Lepisosteus oculatus: one gene and its partner. The protein of the gene in region 2 purifies or fractionates together with the protein of the main gene of each other region. This does not show direct contact. Links are inferred from orthologs where the notes say so. Each region holds a gene or a part of one and is shown on either strand. Other genes may lie near its edges.

Region 1 (7,580 bases), on a different chromosome or scaffold from region 2:
TATGTTTTAATTAACCGTAAATCTTGTCTGTGAATGAAAGTTTATTGTTCAGTTGTGTGTTATTAATCATCAGTCACTATAATTCAAAATATTAAACATTAACAGAACACAATGGACATTAGAAATGGTCATTGCTTTTGTTCTCCGGTTATTAAATTCTAAATTAAAATAAATAATTCAACAGGACTGTCAGAAGTGATGTGTGGTGCAGCGATGTTCGTCTGAATTCAGGTACCATGACAACCATCTTTACAGCCTTTTTCAACAGCACACTTTCCATTCGCTACGATTGCCAAAGCCAACGGCAGACGTCCAGAATCATCAATTAAAAGTCCATCTCCGCACAGGCAGATACATTTGCTAACACACATCACATATCCCAGCTCCTCTCTGCATCTTCGCACTTTCCTCCTTATCTCTGGCTTCTCCTTATCTTTACTCCTCCTCTTCTGTTCCAAAATGTTCTTTCCCACTGTGGCATCCTTTGGCCTTCCTTTATCTTCCCCAAAAAACTGGATGAACGTCTCCTTTTGTCCGACGGTGAGAGTGTTGTCAGCCAGTCCTGGTCCAGGAGGCTGGTGTGTGTGCTTTCAGGCATTTCTGCAAGTTCTTTACTCAAAGGGTATCTCATGTGTTAAAACTGACACAGATTTTTTTAAACGTGAAACAAAACTGCCAAGTTCTCGAGGCAAAATTCTGCACCCAGTAGAGTACTGTGCTCATAGTCACTCGTTTCATTTTTATTACATAAGAGTTCAAAATGCAATGAAATTACCTCACCCTGACAGTGGGGAGAGAAGTGTTTTCACTGTCTGTGCTCTGTGACAGACCAGTGAGCTCTGCTGCAGTTAGACTGCCTCACTGATTCAGCATTCTTTAGATCTCAGCCCATTCACTGACAAGTTGAATCCTAGAATGGACTAAGTGTCTCTGCAATGTTAATTTACGGCAGTTGTGCCTTTAAGTTATGGCTTCGGTTCAGTGTCAGCATGAAAAAAAACACAAAGGTGTTAATTAAAGATGAAACCTCAAACGGAATGGATTCAGAAGCGATGGTGTTTGTTCTCACTGCTGTACCTGCGCACAGATCCCAATAACAACACAAACCAAAGTCCATTACCGCTTCAGCGCTTCCTGGCTGAAGTAGAACAACTTGCTGCTTGTGTTTTTCCCTCTGTGAAGGAGGTAATAAGCATGGCGTCACTACAGCGTGAATGTTTCTAGCTCTAATTAGTACTATAATTGTCAAGGGCAATCCTGGGAATGTGGGGGGGGGTGTCTTGTACAGCAGACAGCAGTGTTTTCTACCTTCAGGGCAGGGTGCGGCCATATTGTGTAAGGTACAGTCTCTTGGTATTGCTGGAACAGAAATATCTGCGCACATCCATCATCGCTCCAGAAGTCTTTCGAAAATCCATCATCTTGTCAGCATCGCCTGTAGTAAGCGATCAACCATTTAATGTACAGCTTTGTGTTTATTAAATTTTGTTTGCCAGCAGGTTCACTGTGTCAAGCGCGCTTTAGTCATAATTCCTAAATTAGAAAGACGCATATTCCGTCTCTGTCAGCAAAGGATGCCGGTGGTCCAGGAGCCGTCATTTTATGTAATCTAACAGCCCCACCACCACCAACCCCAAATTTTTTTTGAAAAAAAGTGAAAATGGAAAGCAGTCTCATCAGGTAGCACAAAGCCGGCGGGCACCCAGATGGGCGAGAGTCCAGCGCCCCCCCGCCCATGACGTCACTCCGGACCGCGGCGCGAGAGCTGCCGCAGCGAGCGGACAGCCCGGACCCGCAACCGAGCAGGCCGGCCGGGCCGTGAGGCAACCCCGCAACACCGCTCTCGGCATACCGCCGCCTGGGGGTCCTTTCGAGCGAACACCTCCATCACTAGGCAATTCCTGCAAGCTGCGGGACCAATCGGACAGACATCCGCAACAAAGTGGACATTTCCGACACAGTGTTTTCTTTTCCGTGCTCCCGTTTGTGAATAGATGCAGCTCTCGGCGTTACAAGCAAACTTCACAGACCATTAATTATTCTCCCACATCCATTACCGCTGCGAACAGCGTCGATTCACACTTTAGACCCCCACGGACAAACTGTACTTCAATGTTTGACTAACCGTTTACCAAATCAACCAAGCACGTGTTTGAGCTTCCCCTTTATTGGAGAAAATAACAAAATAACGATAAAACCAATAACGTGCTCTTCACCGCAAACACCCAGGTAGAGACGCGTTACCAAACATCATTTTCATGCTGTGAAGATGATCAGCGGGAAGTATTTCATTGCCCTTTCTGCCCAAGAAACTGTCAAAAAGCAAAGGAGATTTAAATGCCCACAAAATCACATACCTAACTGATCAAACCGATGTGCGAAACAAATAACGGTGATTTTTTACGGATTACGCAAAATAAATAGGACCGCAAGCGTCCCGATTATCATTAAAGCAAGCGTGATCCTTGTTTCCAGCTATAACCCCGTTTATTAACAATGCCCTCAACCATCGTTCGGTAATTAACGTGAGAAACAGAGATAAAGGTCTTACCCCTATAACGACCGTGTCATCGTCCTTAAATTTGGGGATGTACTTGTCGCCCCTTACGATCTCGGCTGCATTTAACGGCCGGAATCGGCACATCACTTTGATGCTGCATTCGGCTGGGTCCGCCATCTCAGTCTACCCCAGCAAGAGCGCAATAATGCAAAGTTTCCTTCACAACCTCTTCAGCAAAAGCACGGACAGACTGCGCCGGGGAGGCCCAGGAGAGTCGCGTCAGCCTCAGAACACCATGGTCGTCTGCTGCAGATCAGCTGTTCCCCTTCATGCCCACCAGCCGCTCGGCTCTGCAATCTCCTTGCATTGAAAGGTGTGACAATGCATCTATACAGACATGTATTCCTGCGGACAGCACTCAAGTCCCTGCAGGCAGGCTGAAGCCGCGGGAGGCGGGGATGCAGTGTCCCCCTGTGTTGGAGAAGCCGGTGGCAGCTCAGAGCTCAGGAGTTCAGAAATCGCATCCTCCTTCGCGCTCCGTCACCCCGCAGCAACAGCACCGGGCACCTTCCCTCCTCTGGATCTGCCTCCTCCCCTGCTCCTCCTCACTCTCACTCTCACACACACACATACACACACCGGCTGGCGTGGCGTAGCCTTACATCATAAACTCCGTCGGTTCACCTAAGTATTCTGGGCAACGTAGTTCTTCTGCAGAATCCAGTGCGACCTTCCTTGAACTTGAACGTGAACTTTACTGCCGTGGGTAACCGGTTCTGGTACAATGGGATTCTTACGGAAAGTCTCGCCATTGTCAAAAAAACAAAAGGTGTAAAACACAAGGTGTCATCCGCCAATGTAATGACGCGGTTGCCGCTGTGTCCCGCTGTGCAGTCGTGAGCGGACAGGGCGTACTCGCCTGGACTCAGACGGCAGCCTTCTGAAGGAGCCGCCAGGTCCTCCACAGCGGCCCAGGTGTTAAGCTCAGTGGAAAATGAATGACAACAGTCTAAACGGATTCCTCCCGGAGTACAGGGGACATGTATCCGGAGAGTGAGAAAAGCAAAAGCTAAAAATACAGCATCTGAAAAGGTTCAGCAACTCAATTGTGAAAACAGAGGGATTAAAAAAAACAACAGGGTGCAAGTTAATGAAATTAGTATGCTACAGGATATTGTAAGCCAAGGATATCAGAAAGGCCAAGAGAGAAATTGAAAGGAATATTGTAATGGAGGCTAACATAGATGAGAATAAATTCTTCCAGTACTACAAAAGCAAAACAACCACATGAGGTCAAATCCATTAGGGACAAAACTGGTAAATGTCTAGACAAGGAGAGGGAAATGGCTGATGTACTGAACAAGTTTTTCACTCAGCTGCTCATTAGGGGCCTCTGGCAGTGGAGGGACAGAGTTCTGTATCAGCACAGAAGAGGCAGAAACCTTCTGGGAACTAGAAACACAAGAAACACATCATTTAACATGCGGAAACTGGCCTGTTCGCTTGATGTGGCTTTTATGTAATTAAGACAAATTCCATGATCTTTCTGGGATTTGGGGACCAAGCGGAGAGATTTACATTTTAAGGAAAGTAATGTCCAATTAATGAATTCTTGCTGCTGTGTGTTTTCTGAAGGTTTGAGGTCTACCTCACTGGCTGCAGAGGCCAAGTCGGGCTTGGCTGGATCAGGCCTGGGATGGCAGACCAGGGTGTTGGTGGACCAGCCAGTGGTTCTGAATTTCCAAACCAACGACACACGATCACAGCAGAGGGCACCACTCTGCTGTAGAAGCATCCGTGCGGTTCAGCTGAGGTCCTGGCTACTCGGTCTTTAAAAGACCCCTTCAGTTAGGAAGCATTTTGCTGCACAGAATGGCTGCCGCATGGTTCCCAAGGTGGGGAATGCAGTGGGGTCCTCCTGTATGTGGAGCTCTTAGGAATGTGCTCATATATTTTATATCGATTCAGAAAGTTATACAAATGAACAAAATTATTATTGCACTTCTACATACCAGTTGGTAAAGCAACAGTTTTTAAGGAGTTAAACAAGAAAAAAGCTCGCCACTCCACGTGAAGGGATCAATTTCCAGGAACCAGGCTGTTTCGCTGCCGGCGCGGTCTCAAACGCTAGCAGATACAGCTAGATTGTATCTTTCAGCAGGTTGCAGGACACGTCTCTGAAACAAGAGGCCTCTTTGGAAACAGCTGGAGGTTCTGAAGCAAATTGTATTGTAAAAAAAATGTGCAGCGTGGAGAACTGTGCATGTATGTCTCTCCGATTGCAGGTTTAGAAACATGCTCTGCCACACTGACACCCCCTTGCTGCTGAGCTTGAATGAACCAAACGTGATATGAAAAGCACGACTTGAATTTTACCTTAAGATAAAAAAAATGTACTTGCCGTTTAGAAATTATACTGTTCAAATCCAGATTTATTTCAGTACTAATCAGGAATGCTTAATGCTTCCTCATAGGAGTGCCACCTACTGGTTAAATTGCATGACAAGGTGCTCATTCGGAATTGAATACAGAAAATCATACCTCGGCTTCTCTGCTAGTGGAAACCATACCGTTTAATACCATGCAAAAAAAAAAGGTGATCTTAAAAATTGCCAAATAGCAAAACAAGCTGGTACTACGGTTAGGAACCGTCTCTCTTCTGAGGAACAACCACCAATGTACAGACAGCAGCCCCGTTGCAACTGCATTTTGAGAACTGCTGCTTTCACCCTGCACCGGGTTTTGACTGGAGTGCATGGAGAAAAGCTTAAAGAGCTTAGCAGTAGTTGAGCACCAGAGTAGACCCAGAATGAGAGAACGGGATTTAAAGCTATAGTGACAACAGTAGGTGGCAGCAAAGCCAGTAAGCCGTTGTAAACTGATGGCAGAACTGTCCATCGTTCTAACATGTGGAGTCTTTAGCTGTAAGCTTAACTCTGTGGTCCCAATTTCCCTGCTATATAATGGATACAACTGCCAAGTTCTATTATTTGTCATTTGATCTCGGGGAGATGCCACCTGCTCTTTCTTGACTTCTCCTAAGTGTACAAATACCCCCCCCCCCCCTTACAGAAATAAAAATCTGTAAGCGTAATGCCTTGACGTGCAGGATAACACAAACGGACACTTTTGGAAACTTTAATCTTCCTGAAACTGCACAAGAACGGCTATACGGGATAATAGGAGACCGCTGGTAATAACATAGCTGACTGGATTTATTTTCAGTAACATCGGTATGAAATTGGAACCAAGGTAATAAGCACTGTATCCTAGCAGCAATTCTCTCATCCCTATAATCCGAATTTTCACCCCTGAAACGAACAACAATCAAAAACACAGCTTCCCAGGACCAAAACTGATTTTCTTACCCCACCAACAGGCGCTCAAGGAAATGTTAGATGCGTTTCTTTAAAGAAACAAAAGAATCCAGGGCGAGTTATTCTTCGGTGAGGAATGAAGACATGGAATCGATTCTGATATGTATACTTTTTTTATTTCCCTGCATTTCGTAATATATCCAAGTACAAGTAACAGGGAAAATGTGTCTGAAGTAGTGCATAAACTAATAGTTGCCTAAACATTTCTATAAATCTTTTTACAGGAACTCACTACACCACTACACTACGTTAAGGGAGGCCTAGCGCTGATCATCAGACATGTTCTTCCTCACCTGTTACTTGCCTTGTCGCCACAGGAAAGAATACAAAAAATCTGAAAGGATGAGCAGTTGTGACAAGTACCCCCCTCCCCCCCAAGATTGGTTCGACAGGTTTCAGATAGTCTCCAAATACCCCACATACTAGTATTGCCCTTACCTGTGGAAGATTTATTGGCTTGACCTCGGCAAGTTTTAAAATGCAAATATATTAATGAGTTTGTTTTTATACATTTGCAAGAATGAGAATGTAGAATGCATAAATCTGTCATTAAAAATTTAAATAGGTCCTATGGATACAACAGCTTGTTTTTACACCAAAAACTGTGTTACTGTAACTTTTACAACATTCAAAAAAAGGACAAATAAAAATTTAAAATAAAAAATTAAAAAGCAATCCGTTCCCCATTGCCCCTTCAAAGTAATAGAAAATACCTGTCTTAATGAAAAATGTCACTAAACTTGTTACCAAAAGACCATCTATATTCAATTTGTGAAACCAAATGAATCAAGTGAAATACATTTTTTTAGAAAAAAAGTACAAGAACTTTATATGCTAACTATGCGAATCTCAATATTTTTGTAGACACAAAATCTGATTTGTACAAGATACAAAATGTAAACATTGCAAAATAAATAGTTAAAACAAGTGACATAGGATCCTTTCTCATGCTCATGATCCCAAAACAAACTGTTGCACATTTTTTCCTTTCCATTCAGTTGCATTTTCGAGTGCAAAAGCATGATGACAAATATCTAGAATTCAAGTAACAGAAATAACATACTAATGATACAAATATACTATTTTACAAGGTAGTGATCTTCCCAATTTTACAAAATGTACATTTATATATTGACAAATTAACTTAATATGTTGATATGCTGCTATTTCATATAGGTCCATGTAAAGCCCCCCTGCGAACTGTAGAGGGCGCACAGGTTTTGCATTCATTCTGGGAAATGTGTCAACTGCTGGACATGGGAGCACGGTCCGTGATGTGGGCTATGTGACCTCCATCGCCACTGTGGTCTCCGATATTCCATTCAAAGCAAGTCTTTCAGGCTCATGACTCTCCCTGAAACAGAAGGGAGAAAAAAACCTCAGACATCCAACATCCAACAAGTCGATACAATGACTTTACATTAACTGTTTCACGAAGAGGAATTTGGACTATTACATCTCCACTATCCGAGGCAAAATAAGTTCCTTACAAAGCAGTTACGGCCTTTGCCTTTCATAAACAGCATGATCTGTTTTTCTTTAATCCCCATCTCTGAACTGGCTTCATTACTCTGCTCTCCTCCCCACTGAGAGCTGGTGTGTGGGGAGCGGACTGGTGCACTTTGGCTGGGGGCTGCACACTGGTGGTGGTGGAGGGGAGCCCCCATTGCCTGTCAAGCGCTTTGAGTGGAGTGTCCAGAAAA
Region 2 (7,686 bases):
TCTCGCGTTTGCCGCCATGCGAAGTGCTCTCGCCTTCAGCTCTGCCTGCCCTCTCTCCCGCCGCAGGAGTCCCAGCATGCCCCACGGCGTGGACGCCATCGGCCTGCAGGTGGACTACTGGGTGGCGCTGGGCGGGGAGAGGAAGAAGGAGGGCGAGCGCCGCGACACGGGTTCGAAGAACACCCTGAAGAGCACCTTCCGCTCCGTGCAGGTCAGCCGGCTGCCGGGGGCCGCCGGCGAGGGCCCGCCCGGCCTCAACACCATGTCCATGACCGTGGTCACCAAGGAGAAGAACAAGAAGGGTGAGTGCACACTGCCCCCTGCTGGTGCGGCGCCGCCGTGGCGCTGGGAGGGTTCCAGCGGGAGGGCCTGCCTGCCTGTGTTCCAGTTCACCGGAGCCAGTTCTCTGTTTGTGTAGGTTTTCCCTTGGGATTGCCAAGCACGTACCACCCCTCACTGTTTTTTACCACGGTGTCCTGTGATTTTTACCGTGTTGCTCTGCTCTTTGACTGGGTTCTACTGCGCTGGACTGTGCTTTCACCCCGATCTCACTGGGCTCTACTGTGCTGTACTCTGCTTTTACCCTGATCTCATTGGGCTCTACTGCGCTGTACTGTGCTTTTACCCCGATCTCACTGGGCTCTACTGCGCTGTACTGTCCTTTTACCCTGATCTCACTGGGCTCTACTGCGCTGTACTGTCCTTTTACCCTGATCTCACTGGGCTTTACTGCACCGGACTGTGCTTTTACCCTGATCTCACTGGGCTCTACTGCGCTGGACTGTGCTTTTACCCTGATCTCACTGGGCTCTACTGCGCTGGACTGTGCTTTTACCCTGATCTCACTGGGCTCTACTGCGCTGGACTGAGCTTTCACCATGCTGCTCTCTCCTGTCTCCGCAGTGCCCACCATCTTCCTGGGGAAGAAGCCGAAGGAGAAGGAGGTGGACTCCAAGAGCCAGGTGATCGAGGGCATCAGCCGGCTCATCTGCTCCGCCAAGCAGCAGCAGACCATCCTGCGAGGTGAGGGCGCACGCACACAACCGCACACTGCTACACACACGCACACAACCGCACACTGCTACACACACGCACACACACAACCGCACACTGCTACACACACGCACACACACAACCGCACACTGCTACACACGCACACACACAACCGCACACTGCTACACACACACACAGGCGCACACTGCTGCACACTGCTACGCACAAACAACCGCACACTGCTACTCACACACAACCGCACACTGCTATACACAGGCACATGTAGACAGACACGGCTGCACTCAGACTGCAATGCACACACACGGACGCAGATTGGCATGCTTGGACACGGGCACACGCACATGTAGACAAACAAGGGCACTCTCGGACACGCATGGACACGCGCGGTTCACCCGCGCTCCCACAGAGGGCTGCTCGAGTCCCTGTGGTCCAGCAGGCTCCTGGAGGCAGGTGTCTAAACCCGCCAGTGGCTGACCGGCCGTCCCTGCTGTGCTCTCTCTGCAGTGTCCATCGACGGGGTGGAGTGGAACGACGTCAAGTTTTTCCAGCTGGCGGCCCAGTGGCCCACCCACGTCAAGTATTTCCCAGTCGGACTCTTCAGCTACAGCAAGCCAGCGTCCTAGGACCCGCCCCCCCCAAGCCCACCCCTCCTGCGCAGCCATTGGCCAGCTCCCGGAACAGGCCCTCTGCCACTCAGAGCTCCTGGAACCCTCCCTAGCCAATCAGAGCCGGGGGTGTGGGCTTCTCCTCCAATCGCGTCACTCGTAGACTTCTGCTCGGATTTTCGTTCTTCTTTCGCTATAGCAACGGCTGTGGAGCACATGTGGATTGGATCGATGACGTCGCTGTTCGCTCACGCCCGTCTCCAGGGCAACGCAGGGAGGTGCTGGAAGAGTGTACAGAGGAGGGATGGGGTTACAGATGGAGTACACACACACACACAAAAATGGACACTTGCTGACCATGTCCTGTACAGAAGTAACTTTGGGCAGATGTGCTTTTATGTGTGTCATGTTATGCACCAGTTTCCTTGCGGTGTGTTTTCATTAGAGCATTAAGCGTATAAAAACCAGGCCGTGTCCTCTTCCTGAGAGAGCGATTGTGTCCGTACAAGATGGGTGATTGGTCATTCCTGGCGCTGGTGGAGATCAGAATGGCTTTTGGGAAGATGGGGGATTCCAGAGGCAGGGAATTGCTCTTTAAGCCAGGGGTGACCAGTACTAGTCCTGGAAGGGGTGCTGTCTGCAGCGGGGGTGTCCGGTCCTGGGCCAGGAGGGGTCAGTGTGTCTGCAGCGGGTGTGTCCGGTCCTGGGCCAGGAGGGGTCAGTGTGGCTGGTGGTCTCGTTAAAAGCAGCAGCACCTGTTCGATGGGTCCAGTTCTGCCCATGAGGCGAAGACAGAGCTTGTTAAGAGCCGGGCAGCAGGGGGAGCCCCCAGAGATGCCCGCAAGCCCCTTGGGCACAGTAGGGGACCACTCTGGGCCTTGCCCAGGTGCGAGAGGCGTGCCGTGCGACGGGGCGCAGTTTCTGTCCTGGGGGCCCACACCGAACCTTGCTGACTCCAGCCTGGGGCCCCCCTGTTTCCCGGGATCCCCCGCTCGGCTCCTCTCCTCGCAGGACTGGACTCCGGTAGGGGGGTGTGGGGGAGTCGGGGCGAGCCAGGAGCGAGTCCAGTTCAGTTCGCCCAAAGGAAAGGAACTCCGGTCTTAAACCCTCCCCCCCCCCCCCCCCATCAGAGCGAGATGGACTAGACCTTCCCATCCGTGCTGAAGGGGAAATGGACTGTTCCATTCTTTTATTTCTGGTGGTGGGGGGAGAGTGTGGCCTCACTGCCTTCATGCCTCTAGGGCGCTCCTAGAAAACACAGCCATCAGCCTCTTGTTGTTTTTATACCAGATGTGCACTTTACTATTAAAACTCCTATTTGGACGTGGGTCTGGCCGTGTGGGTGTGGACAGAAGTCCTGTAGCGTCAGTAGTAGTAGATTATATGATCACAATCCCAACCCCCCACCTCGTGTCCCAGACTCGTCCTCGTTCCTGCTGGATGGGTTTGCCCCGTTGGAACCCGTCTCCCTGGGAAAAGAGCCGGCCAAGTGAGCCCAGCCCGGTTCTGGAGGGGAGGGGGGCTCGGAGGGGTGTCCCTGGAGCAGAGGAAGGGGGGGCTGGGACGAGCGGGGCTCCGGACTCACCCATGCGTCTCCCATTGGTGTTTTAGTGGGATTTCCCCCACAGTCAGGTGTCGTGATTTGCTCTCCTCTCCCAGCGGCCTGTGCCCAGTGGTTGATTTTGTTCTAAAGACGTCGCAGGCGTCTCCCTGGACGAGCACCAGTGTGTTTGGGCCTTTTGTGGTTGTGTTTTGAACTGCGAGTTGCGGTGTTTGTTCCCCCCGGGGCAGGGCAGGCTCCGGCTCCGGCTCCGGTGAGCTCCGGGCCGGGAGTTCCAGGCGGCCAGCCGCTCTGCGTGCCGCTGGGCAGGCTGATTAATCGAGCGCAGCACTGCGGCGGGCTGGCCGGGCTGCCTTCTGCCCCCGCGGCCCAGCGTCTCTCGAACCCGCCGCGCGCCGCGCAGCCCTGGCAACAAGCCCTGCAGCTGCTGCTGCTCCGCGCGGGCGTGCCTCCCGTCGCCCCAGACGGCCGAGGACAACAGTCTGTTGGACTGGGGTCGGCGCTATGCCGGTTTCTGTTGCCATGAAAGACCCTCCCCTCCCCCTGCAGGGGGCGCTGGAAGCCACAGCCTGGTTCAGGCTGACCAGCAGCAGCAGCAGTGGCCAGCCGCCTGTGGGGCTGGGCCGATCTGGCACCGCGGGGCAGCGTGGCCGGGGTTCGAGACCGCTGGACCGTCAGCAGCGAAAGTCCGGCTCGGACCGGCGCCGCCTGCCTGCGGGGGGGTCCAGAGAAGCGAGGGGGGGTGCTGCGTTCTCCATTTCCAGCTTTTCCGTCCCCTGTCCGCTGGAGCCAGAGAGCCAGAGGGACGGAGCCGCAGGGCTGTCGATTCGGTGTGTCATTAAAAATCATCAGAATCAAAACGTTGGATTTTTAACCCGTCTCTTGTCACGACGCTGCGTCACGGACACCGCGGCACGCGGACGTGTAGCCCGCCGCCCAGCGCCCAGCACGCACGCTCACGCGGAGCTGCGTCCCGGGTCAGAGCACGGGCCTGACACCGCGCCGGGGCCCCGGGTTCAGCCGTCTGTGTGGAGTCTGCATGTTCTCCAGCGGTTTGTCCATCCACAGACACGCTGGTGGGGACACAGGGCCTGGTGTGTGTGTGTCCTGTGACCCGGGTGTGCCCTGCCTTGTGCCCTTGGGGTGCTGGGATAGAGGAGGAGGAGGGAGAGAGAGGAGAGGGGAGGAGGGAGAGAGAGGAGAGAGGAGGAGGAGGGAGAGAGAGGATTGAGGAGGAGGAATGAGAGAGAGGTGGAGGAGGGAGAGAGAGGATTGAGGAGGAGGAATGAGAGAGAGGAATGAGAGAGAGGAGGAGGAGGGAGAGAGGGGATTGAGGAGGAGGAATGAGAGAAAGGAGGAGGAGGGAGAGAGGGGAGCGGCCCCGGCTGGCGGCAGTGTTTTGGGCGGTGACGTCAGCGCGCCTGCGCCAGGGCTTCTGGGAAGCCAATATAGGCACAACAGCCATTTTCGGCTCGCGAGCGGCTGTCAGTGCGGAGAGCGAGCCAGTCGCGCGCAGCGGAGCAGTCGGGATGCCGGTTCCTCGCGACAGCTTGGTCGTGTGAAAAGAAGAAACAACAACAACAACAACAACAGCGGCGACCACGCACGGACACGGACACGGGCGTCTTTCTTTTCCCAAGAAAAGACCCTGACGTGCACACGAGTGGCGGGGGGACACGGCTCCGATAACCTTTCTCCCGACCCCCCCTCTCCCTCCTCCTCCTCCTCCCCACGCTGCGTGGATCCGTCCCGTTAGGAATGAGCCCGCCGTGCCGGATGCGGCAGTAGAACGAGCGAGAGCGCAGAGGTGCGGACACGCAGGGCAGAGACCCGGCGCGGGGGGCATATCTCGGACTGGGGGGCTTCCTCGCGTGCGTGCCTGTGGGGGACGGAGCGGGGGGGGGCGGCGCTGCTTGGACAGCCGACCCGGACAGGACCGGCGGGGCCGAACCTCGGAGACTGGACCTGCACCGCCAGCCCGCTTTCCGGGCCCCTCGGATGCGGCAGGTGTCGGGGGACCGAGCCGGCGAGCTGAGCTGAGCTGAACCGAGCCGAGCCGAGCCTTCAGGGGACGGGACGACACCGGCGCCTCAGGGGGCGAGAATCAGGTGAGTCATTGACCCGTGAGCCGCTCTTCCTCTCCCCGCACCCCCTCCTCCTCCTCCTCTCGCCCTCTCCACGGCTGTCCCCCCCCCCGAGGGGCCGAGGGCCCGGGTTCAGCGCGCTCCACCGCTTCATTCAGACACGGGACTGGGGAGGGGGGGTTCGGCTCTAGTGACCCGTTTCCAGACCCGATTCCCTGACCAGGCTGGACCCGGGTGGACCCGGGTTCTGGTGCTGACGGTGTCCCGCGTCACGTCACTCAGTGTCCTCTGTCCGGGCCAGTACCGGGGGGGTGGGATCGCGAGCTGTGAGACGTGTGAGGGGTTCTGGTTCTGGTTTGTTTTACTTTGCACATCCGCGAGTGGGACGTAAAGAGCGGATTAGAGCGAGCCTGTGTTGAGTTAATGGTCCCGGTCCGGCCCGGTTCGGCTCGGCGCTCCGGAGGTCTGGTGGGGGGTGGGGGGCGCGAGTCAGCTGGACCATGCCCATCCACGTCTGCACGTGCTGGCGTGTTTTGGGCACGCAGGGCGGCGGGTCGGGCACCCCTCGGTGACGGATGCGCGCGGCTGTGTGTGTTCCGAGCGGCGGCTCCGCCTGCGGGTCTCATGAAGTCCCGCGGCCCGGCGGCCCGGCTGTCCGGCTGTCCGGCGGCGGCCCGGCGCTCCCGTGACGCGGCGCTGTCCCCCGCGCCGGTTGGCGCATTGCGGTACCTCCGGCGCCGCGTGTGCGTGCTGGCGGCGGCGGGGGGGGGGCAGGCCCGGCAGGTGCGTCTGGTTGGCAAGTCGCTGGGAGTGTTAGACGAGCCCCCCCGCTTGGGCCTGTCCGCTCGCTAGCTCGTGTCCCCTTCTTGGTGGTGGTGGTGGTGGTGGGGGGCGTTGTGCTGGTTTTGGCAGCGCGGCTGGCTCCAGACCCCTGCCACTCTTTGTGTAGATGAGTGTTGTTCAGGGGTCGCTTTCCTGGACCCTCCACTCAGAGCTCTGTACAGGTTATGGGGATCCCCTCCACCCCCACCAGTGTGTACCCCCACCTGGATGATGCTCCAGTCCCCTCCCCACACCCCAGCTGTCAGTGTGTGATGGAGCCAGTTCAGAGAGGGGGGTTATTAGGAGGCCATGAGGGGTAAAGGCCAGGGGGGAATATGGCCAGGACACTGGGGTGACACCCCAACTCTTTTTGAGAAAGACCCTGGGGTTTTTAATGACCGCAGAGAGTCAGGACCTCAGTTTTACAGTATCGTGTCCCTGTCACTATAGTAGGGCATTAGGACTCGCACAGACTGCGGTTTGCGTCCCCACAGTGCAGTGCTGCAGTGCTGTATGACAGTACAGTGCAGCAGTGTTGGATGACAGTGCAGTGCTGTATGACCGTGCAGTGCTGCAGTGCAGCAGTGCTGTATGACAGTACAGTGCAGCAGTGTTGGATGACAGTGCAGTGCTGTATGACCGTGCAGTGCTGCAGTGCAGCAGTGCTGTATGACAGTGCAGTGCAGCAGTGTTGGATGACAGTGCAGTGCTGTATGACAGTGCAGTGCTGCAGTGTAGCAGTGCTGTATGACAGTGCAGTGCAGCAGTGCTGTATGACAGTGCAGTGCAGCAGTGTTGGATGACGGTGCTGCAGTGCTGTATGACAGTGCAGTGCTGTATGACCGTGCAGTGCTGCAGTGCAGCAGTGCTGTATGACAGTGCAGTGCAGCAGTGCTGTATGACAGTGCAGTGCAGCAGTGCTGTATGACAGTGCAGTGCTGTATGACCGTGCAGTGCAGCAGTGTTGTATGATGGTGCAGTGCTGAAGTGCTGCAGTGTTGTATGACAGTGCAGAAGTACAGCAGTGCTGTATGACAGTGCAGTGCTACAGTGTAACAGTGTTGTATGACGGTGCTGCAGTGTTGGATGACGGTACTGCCCCCTCTGCCCCAGGGCTCGGCGGCCTGTGTCGTGAGGGATGTCCGCCATGGTGCTGCCCCGGGACGAGCCTCTGGAGCGCCTCTCGCAGGACGAGATCGTGCTGAGCACCAAGGCGGTGATGCAGGGGCTGGAGACGCTGCGCAGCGAGCACGCCGCCCTGCTGGCCGCGCTGCTGGACGGGGTGGCGCTGCCGGACGGCTCCCAGCTCCCCGCGGCGCAGGAGAAGTCGGGGCTGCTGCGCAAGAGCCTGGACGCCATCGAGCTGGGGCTGGGGGAGGCGCAGGTACGGGGAGCGGGGGGAGGGGTCCCTCTGGGTGCGTGATGGGGTCGGGGGTCTCTGAGGTCAGTATCGGGGTAGCAGGACGGGGTCGGGGGTCTCTGAGGTCAGTATCGGGGTACCAGGAAGGGGTCAGAGGTCTCTGAGGTCAGTATCGGGGTAGCAGGATGGGGTCGGGGGTCCCTGCGGTCAGTATCGGGGTACCAGGAAGGGGTCAGAGGT

What was found.
Region 1: the proteins of kinesin light chain 2 (region 2) and kif5c purify together in Homo sapiens (affinity purification with western blotting; 3 studies listed by BioGRID and IntAct, with this or other methods). This does not show direct contact. The link is inferred for Lepisosteus oculatus from reciprocal best matches to the Homo sapiens genes KLC2 and KIF5C.

The regions. Positions count from the first base shown.
Region 1 is NC_090707.1:2,880,324-2,887,903, reverse strand, and holds the start of kif5c (kinesin heavy chain), read right to left. Parts: upstream 3,115-7,580; 5' UTR 2,678-3,114; coding exon 2,552-2,677; intron 1-2,551. Other genes in the region: epc2 (enhancer of polycomb homolog 2), read right to left, coding at 7,159-7,227. UniProt on the Homo sapiens protein: Microtubule-associated force-producing protein that may play a role in organelle transport. Has ATPase activity. Involved in synaptic transmission. Mediates dendritic trafficking of mRNAs.
Region 2 is NC_090713.1:22,597,315-22,605,000, forward strand, and holds the start of kinesin light chain 2, read left to right. Parts: upstream 1-4,561; 5' UTR 4,562-5,288; intron 5,289-7,199; 5' UTR 7,200-7,224; coding exon 7,225-7,470; intron 7,471-7,686. Other genes in the region: phosphofurin acidic cluster sorting protein 1, read left to right, coding at 67-302, 904-1,023, 1,519-1,637. UniProt on the Homo sapiens protein: Kinesin is a microtubule-associated force-producing protein that plays a role in organelle transport. The light chain functions in coupling of cargo to the heavy chain or in the modulation of its ATPase activity.